2 linked regions of the Drosophila melanogaster genome follow. The protein of the gene in region 2 interacts with the protein of the main gene of each other region in a biochemical or structural test. Each region holds a gene or a part of one and is shown on either strand. Other genes may lie near its edges.

What was found. Proteins that work in one complex are often made in the same cells at the same time.
Region 1: the proteins of Tom (region 2) and neur form a complex in vitro, tested with the Drosophila melanogaster proteins (one study listed by BioGRID).

What each region holds. Positions count from the first base shown.
Region 1 is NT_033777.3:9,030,688-9,035,734, reverse strand, and holds the start of neur (neuralized), read left to right. Parts: upstream 1-2,003; 5' UTR 2,004-2,285; coding exon 2,286-2,556; intron 2,557-5,047. UniProt on the Drosophila melanogaster protein: Involved in neurogenesis. Interacts with other neurogenic proteins in the specification of the neuroblast versus epidermoblast cell fate.
Region 2 is NT_037436.4:14,967,547-14,970,822, forward strand, and holds Tom (twin of m4), read left to right. Parts: upstream 1-1,797; 5' UTR 1,798-1,880; coding exon 1,881-2,357; 3' UTR 2,358-2,760; downstream 2,761-3,276.

The sequences.
Region 1 (5,047 bases), on a different chromosome or scaffold from region 2:
CTTCACCGTGTATCTGTGTATCTTTTGCTATGAATTTACACCTGGAATTGGCAAGCAAACAGAACGAAACCAATGGCAGGGGCTGCGCGGGGAAACGCACTACAGTAGAGCAAACCCTTTTCGGATCCTTTTTCCAACTGCAACCGCAGATGGACACCTTTCGTTGGTGATCATGATGGGTACAGTGGATATCGATAAGCGAAAAACTATGATACGCAATTATAATACATAAGTATTCATACATTTAAAAGAAAAAAAAGAAATGGTATCCTAAAAATAAGGTTGGTTTAGGGCTTGAAATAATATTGCAAGGATATTTACTCTGCATTTTTAATATTTCTACTTAACCTAAAGTCGATAAAAAATATTTCTATCCAATGATCACTGTATTCTTTGACAATTTTTGGGGTTGTTCGTTGGTCTCGATGTCTGCCGGTTCCTGTTTCGCCAACATCACCTTCTCCGACCTTTTTTGCATTTTTGCAAACTGAGCGAACAGGAGGGGGAAATCGGGTAAGCAGCAGCAGATGTATTTCCAGGACGCACGCCTGCTGCCAGGATGCTGAATATGCATTTCCACTTTAATATCAAAATTTAAATGCTTTCTGCCCCGTCTTGATCCCTTCCGATCTTGAAAATTGCATCTGCTGTGAGGTCTGCCCGGTTCCGTCTGTCGATGCAGGACAAAAAGGACGAGGATGAGGATAAGGAGCGCTCGGCGCAATTATCATCCTCCATCAATGGCAGCGTGGCATCCATAAAGGATAAAGGATGATCAGACGCCAGACGGCAGTTATCCTGCTGACCACAATGCTAAAGCTTAGCAAATGAGACCACAATAGCATGTGTCCCAGATCATAGGTACATTTTTTTAAATTCTGTGTAAGCTAATGGTTTCAAAACTGGGAATTGAGTTACAAACTTTCCATTTCATTTTATAATCTTTATAGTGCAAACTTAAAAAATCAAAACAAAAACAAATCTCGTTTCATATTCTCTATTAAAATAAATTGCACATACAAAATGGACAATTAAATGTGCCGAAAACAATTGGGAAAAGAAGAAATTTATTATTATTATCAAGAAACGTTTGGGAATTTTTTTTAATTCCCATGGAATTACTCCATACATACTCCAACTGAGTACATACATACACACATATGTATGTACGTGTGATATTTGGCCCACAAAGTTCACGATCAAAAGCATTAGGGCAATTGAAATAGTTTTCTAGTTATATGAGCCAGACCTTGTAAACCCTGCGAAAAAGAAAAAGAATTGCTTTGAACCTGGCTGAACTACACACACACTAAGGTGAGGAGAATAACTGTTAGTGAAGATCAGAGCACTATGGCCAAAATCCCAAATGCAGGCCTAGAGCAACAACAACAAGAAGCAGGAAGAGCAACAGCAGGAGAAGATGTGGAGGAATCCCTGATCAAGGTGCAGAGTTAGAGGCATAAAGGTAAATTATAAGGGAGGCTCTATACACGCGAATAGCAGGCACAAAGCGAAACCATAGTAAATAAGAAACAGCTGCCAGAGAGAGAAAGAGAGCGATGGCGTCTCATAATTTTCTCTCTTGAGCTCTCTTTTTCGCTCCATCCACGCTCAGGGCTGACAGCCCTTAGCCAGAAAATGGATAAATTTTAAATTATTTGAATAGATTGCTTACAAATTATAAGTTTAAATAAATTGAAGCATTTTTAATGTAATTTAGTTACCGTTTCTTGATTTTAATTAAATTGTAAAACAGGAAATGTTATTCAAATCTACAGCCCAAATTGTCACTAAACGTTAATAGTAATTATAAAAAACTTAAATTTCCAAATATGTCTTACTGGCATACCTAAACTTCTAAATATCTTGAAAACATATACTAAAAAAAGCCAAATCTGACGGGAGAATTTCTGCGCGCCAGTACTATCCGTTACTCTCCAGCTGAGCTGCGTCAGCGACGTCGCGCTGGTGCGAAGCTATAAAAGGCTGCACCACCGTTTATTTGTTGAAAAAAAACTCAGCGAAAGGTTGTCTCGAAGTTGTCGTCGTCGGTCTTTGTGTTTCGTATCGTTTCGTTTCGTTTGTTCCCGTTGCGCGCAGACAAACAACCAACCAAATTCAAAATGTTTTAACGGAAAACATTCAAATTCGAAGAAGAACTCTATCGCTTAATTTAATGCCAAATAAAATACGCAAGCAGCTTGTGCATTTTCATTAGCATTACGCGTGTTCGTTTAGTTCGTCTGTTTTAATTTAAATAACGAAATAAGAAATAATCCACTACCATGGGTCTATCGGATATACCAGCCAACTATATGCAGGGCAGCCATCCGCACCTAACTCTCCATCCGCAGCAGCAGCACCACCAGAATCAGCAGCACTTGCAGCATCTGCAACAGATGCAGCAGCTGCACAACGCCATGCCCACTCCCGCCCAGCAGGCCGCCCAGGTCCTGGCCATGGAGTCCAACGAGCTGCTCATGAGCACCAAGGACAAGCTCTCTAGCAAGAAGAAAATGCACTTGCTCAAGAAGATCAAGAAGCGCTTTGGATTGGGTTAGTAGTCGCATTAGTACCAGGCTAAGAATCGGGCTAAGGATATCGATGGATATATTAACAAGAATATTCAGTTAATTTCCAAGTCGTTTTTCAAAGGACGTACAATTCTCGGAATATCCAGGAATAATTTTTAAAATCAGTGTGATTGGGTTCTAAAGTAGATGTAGTACATTTTAACAATATAAAACTTCCTTCGTGATATCTGACCATTAAAGTCTTGAAGCAAATGTAATTACCGCGTGCGAAAATGCCTTAAATACATTATTCATCGATCTGGGAATCGTATTTTTATCTCCAGCGATATTCCCACATAATATTAGCATGTGGTCTGACCTATCGCTCTTTCATTCATTCGGTTAATTAAAGCGGCAAGATAAATAAGCGAGAAACACAGCCAGCCGCAATCATTTATGCATACATTAGCATTTTACGTCTCAAGAACAATAACAAATAACGAAAGATAAGAGCAAAAACCGAAAAAGTTTGAGTTAGTTTAAAACAAAAAGCTAATGAATAAATGCTCACCCAGAACACGCCCAGTTTGCGATTATAATAGTAATTGTTTTTTTCCGACTAGATAGACACAAAAGAAGCGCGAAAAAATCTTAAATGTGAAATTCTCTCAAGGCTTTTTCGGCAGAATTTAACATCGACACTCCGACTTTTTCGCCGGAAATGTCAGTTCTCGAAAACTGAATTTTTCAATCGCACCCAAGTAACCGCAAATTGATCGAGAAGACCAGATCGGAGGGATCTTGAGTTGAAGAAAATACCACCAAAAGCAATTTTCCCAAGGAGCGATTATGTTTATCATAACGATTATCTGGGCTGGGGAATTTGTTGCGCTGTTTTTGTTTTGGTTGCAAGCAGCTGAGCTAAGGAAAGACAAAAAAAAAGAAGTAAAAACAACAAATCACCTTTTTTTTTTGACTTTGGCTCAATTGCATTCTCGGCTTCAATGCTCTCTTTTTTGGCCAAAGCAGGCGAAGCAAAAGCAAAGCAAAGCCAGTGACGCATAGGCTAAGCTTCTACCCCTTTTTTTTTTATTTTTACTGGCCTCCTACGAACAATTGTGGTCGCACAACTAGCAGTCGAATATCAACGAACGACGCAATATGAATAATAAAAAAAAGTTATTAATTTAGTCCTTCAGCACTGGAATAGTTTTATTTGTCAAAAGTGGCTATGCAAAATATTGTACTGTATTTAAGAGATTCCATTTTTCCCGCCACCACTGTTTTTGCATCTGCCTCATTCAGTATTGCTTGTTGTTGTTGCTGTTGCCTTTCGGGGAATTGTACGCGAAGCGCCGTTGCCGCCATCGGCAAAAGCAAAAACAAAGGTAGCAACAACAGAAAAGCAAACGATCCACGGCAGGAGAAGAAGAGAAGAGCCATGGACTAGCGGGATGAGAAGAGGAAGAGGCGTGGCTTTGAAGCTTGAGTGTGTTTGGAGTTTTTATTTTTCTGCTGAGCGCTTAAGCCCGCAATGGTTTATGTTTTATGCGGCGGCTCCAGTCCGTTTGTTTTGAACGTGCGTTGCCTATCGGTAATCAATGAAATTGCTTTGTTGTTGTTTTGCTCGGCGTCAGCTGCTTTTGCTTTTTTGTACCTGCATTTTCTATTACATTTCGTACCTTGTTTGTTGTTGTTATTATTATTGTGTGTTGGCATGCCACGTTTGCTTTGGCTAAAAAGTTTATCTGCTCTTGGCTTTTACTTAGCTTCTCACGGTTTACTTTTCGAAATGGTTTGCTTGGCCGTGCGTGTGCTTGCAACTGAGCACTGCCAACTCGTCTTTGAGACCCCGATTATGGGACACACAAATACAAATTGTCGCCCGACCTTCGATTGTTGGCCAAAAGTAAATAGTCAATTGTTAATGACGGTACGCACCCCCCAAGGAAGTTTGTACATATAAGTACATATCTAAGTACAATGTTGGTCACCATAAATATACATACATTAACTTCTGAGACCTAAAATGTTATTCTATTAAGTTCAAAATATGTAAGTCGCCGCTTAAAAACAAATTTCTGTAAACATAATGTTTAAGAGACATTTTGCTAATATTGCTTCAATATTAACATATTATTGTTGATTTCCCAGTAAGCCATTTTCTGTTGAGCACAGTTGTATGCTGAGCATTTTCGCTACATACATCTGTTGCTATATTTTTCCACTTTCATGCATCCCCTTCGTTATTTTTTCACTTATTTTTCTCCCCCTCATGAGGTCATCATCTCGATGTGTCATTCTGAAGTTTGCGTATAGTTATTGTAGTATAGTATAGTTCATATAGCTGATATGAAGCACTGCTTAATTTCGCGCTTTGATAACGGACACTGCGAAATGTTATCTCTACAAGTGTAAACGTTTTGCAACTGATTAACTATAAATACCAGTTGTTAACTATTGGGGATATACACAAAGATGCTTGTGCTAACTTTGCTAGCTTTTTTCTAAAGAGCTAGCTATCTTGTGACCTA
Region 2 (3,276 bases):
CCACCGAATTGCGCAAAATAATAAACAGGTTTCCATTGCAAAAGGGAGAACCTTAAAACAAAGAAGCTCTGCGTAATGCGGGGCACAGCAATCAGACGGGGGCCAATTAGGGACCCTCTTAATGACCGTAAGGATAGCCAAAGGAACGAAACGACCGTTACAAGAAACTCGAGTCCTCGGAGCCGTTACAAAATTATGAAAGTAACCTTCGGGGGCAAGGGAAAAGGGCCCATAACAATTAGGAAGGCGACTCATAAACGAAGTGCCGACGAAATTCCACTAAAATGCGTAAACCGAGCCAAAAACCAAAACTCTGAAGATCCCTATCTGTACGTGCTTCTCCCGCGTCGAAAATTTTTCACGCATCAACAGAGCAGGTCCCTCGAACCGGGAAAGAACAACAATGACAAACAAATGCGATCGGAAGGAGCTGAAAAGGACCTGCCGAGATTTCCCGAAATGCGGCATTAATGCATATTGACTAACCTTGAGAGTCCGATCCCATCCCATTCCATCGCAATGCCAAGTACCCGAAAAATACGTTACTTTGCTCAACTACCTACAGGTTGGGAAAATAGGAAAAGGACGATCGGACGGAAGGACTTAGGGGCACTTTCTGGGCTGTCTCAATGAAATAACGGACAAGTCCCTTGTCCGTTTGGGTATTTCCAGCGGCGAGATTGTATCTCCGAGATATGCCAATCCATTGTTTGTCCATATCCTCCGTCTTTTTTCGGATAGTGTGTCGAATTTTAAAATCTCTCTTCCCTCACACTCTGTTATGGAATTTTTTCAACAAGTTTCGACTTGTCCGCTCGGTACTCTCCTGGAATTTTACGTTTGGGATTTAGGGACTTCTACTTTTCTTGCGACAGAGTCGAGCAGGTAAAGAGAGGTTGTGAGGCATGGTACTCTCAGAGGGGGCGAAAGATCGAGAACCGACCGAGATCTATGCGACTGTCAAAAAATCCGTTAAAAACCTGCAGTGAATGAGCAACTCGAGTGGGTAATACCCAGCATTTGAATCACGTGGGAAACATATGAAATTTTAAAGTAAATGACTTAGTATGGTATGCTATGTTCCAAAAAATAAATACCATTAGTAAAATACTAAATAATTGTTAAATATACAACGATCTCTTTGTATTTATTGTAATTTTACCGATGTACTTCCTACATACCTTAATTTAGCAGTGTGCTGTTAAGGAAAACTTTTTTTGTAAGGCTGTGCCGATCTTAATTATTTAATTTTAAATAGTTTTTAATTTAGTTGTATACCAAATATTTTAGGATACATTTTATTCTTGCTAGTCTTTTAAGTTTAATTTTAATAGAGTCCTTAAATATTGATATTTTTCATCAAGTTTATGATCTTATTACTATAGTTATTATAAATTCAATGAATTCAATTCAATTAAATTCAACCTTATATGGCCCCTTTCAATATTACTATTATAAATAATTTTTTTTAGAAAAAATACACTTAAAAGATATACACACAATAAAAACATATTAACCTTATTTTTCGTAAAATCTATTTTTTATGCACAGACTCAAAAATTCATCATACCCTGCTTTCTCAAGGGTAAGGACATGCTCCTGATTCCGAGACCGCTTTCTCTTGGCTCTCTTTTGTCTCCCGCTCTCACTGTTTGTGCAACCACCTGCAGGCAGTCTGCCTTCCCATTGGCTGGGTCCATCGATCGAGAGAACCGCCGCTCTGTGCGAGAATTCTCCCCCGCCGAGAGAAACCAAAGAGAGCAAATCGTATATAAGGAGTCGGTCGTGCAGCAGGAAAACCAGAATACTACCAACTCTCAACCGAGTGCAACCAACTAAGATCCCAAGTTTTATTATAAATCTCAACAATCCTCAACACAATGTCGTTCATCACACGGGAATACAAGTTTGAGAGCAGCAAGGTGATGGAGCCGAAATCAGATCAGCACACGATGGCCATGCGGAGTCTGAGGAAACTGGTCAAACCCCTTCTGCGACTGGTGAAGAAGAAGCAGCTACTCCGGAAGACTCTGGCCGAGATCCAGAACCAAAATGCAGTCAACGCCTCGCTGGAGGACATGCGCAAAGATCCGGCGGCCAGTTGCGATAACATGGCCAACGAGGAGCTGGAGCAGCGACTGTACACCGATCTCCGCCAGTGCCCCACCAACGTGGCCATGATCGTGCAGCAGGGTCAGCAACAGAGCATCGTGCCCGTCCATCCGGAGCAGACCTTCATCCCGGTCCACTTCGCCCGCACCACCAGCGGCACCTTCTTCTGGACCTCAGCCGAGGGAGCTCGCCAGCACCACGAACAGCAGTTGCGCCAGCAGTTCGACCGTTGGGTTCAGGCCTAAACATCGCCAGGATGCACAGTTCCACTTCTCGATGCACCGGGAAAAACTCCAATTGGCAGCTTTAAGTGCAAGTGTCTCCGTCCATTGGTCGTCGGATGGATGCGGGTTCAGCTTCGCATGTTCGTAATCTCAGGGTGATATTAGGCATAGATTGGATTCTTTGGGCTCGCGTCCCAAGGGAAACACAACTCTAATTGATATTCAATTATCACAATCAAGCGTTACTATCGTTAACTCATTGTGATTTATCGTGTCTTATTAGCCTTAAGTTAGTCTTAGCCGAATCATTGTCTTCCATGTTTGTTTGTTAGGGTCTTCGTATAAGAATTAGGCTAAGAATCATTGTCTTCCATGTAAAACTTTAGCTATAAACACTAATATCATATAAGAAATAAATAAATCGAAAAAAGGAAATTCTAATGTCTCTTTATTCTGAAAACTGATATGAAATAATATGAATAAGGTTGGAAAAGAAAAATCCCAAATTGAATGACCATTGTAAGTATAGTTAAATTCGGCTACTCTGTACAATTCTGATTTGAAGAATGGATTTTAAATTGGACTCGCTATGCTGGTGAACACATTCCAATTAGTGACTGCATTCATTCCTGCTTGGAGACCATTTGAATCCAAAAATGCTGCTGGTAGGCAGTTGGAAATACTTCCGTAAGAACAATAAAGAATTTTATTTACATTTATATTTAGCCTGACCACAGGCTAATATAATATTCACCAAATATTATTTTTTGTCTTTCATACAATTTCTGCATCTGTTATCGTTAAAATATGATTTTTGTTTCAAATATACCTAATATATACCTTTGTAGTATATATGTATTTATTTATTTATTCTATTTATATTTCGAAAATATTGGTATAGTAAATATCATATCTTTTCATATCATATTATGGTTCACAC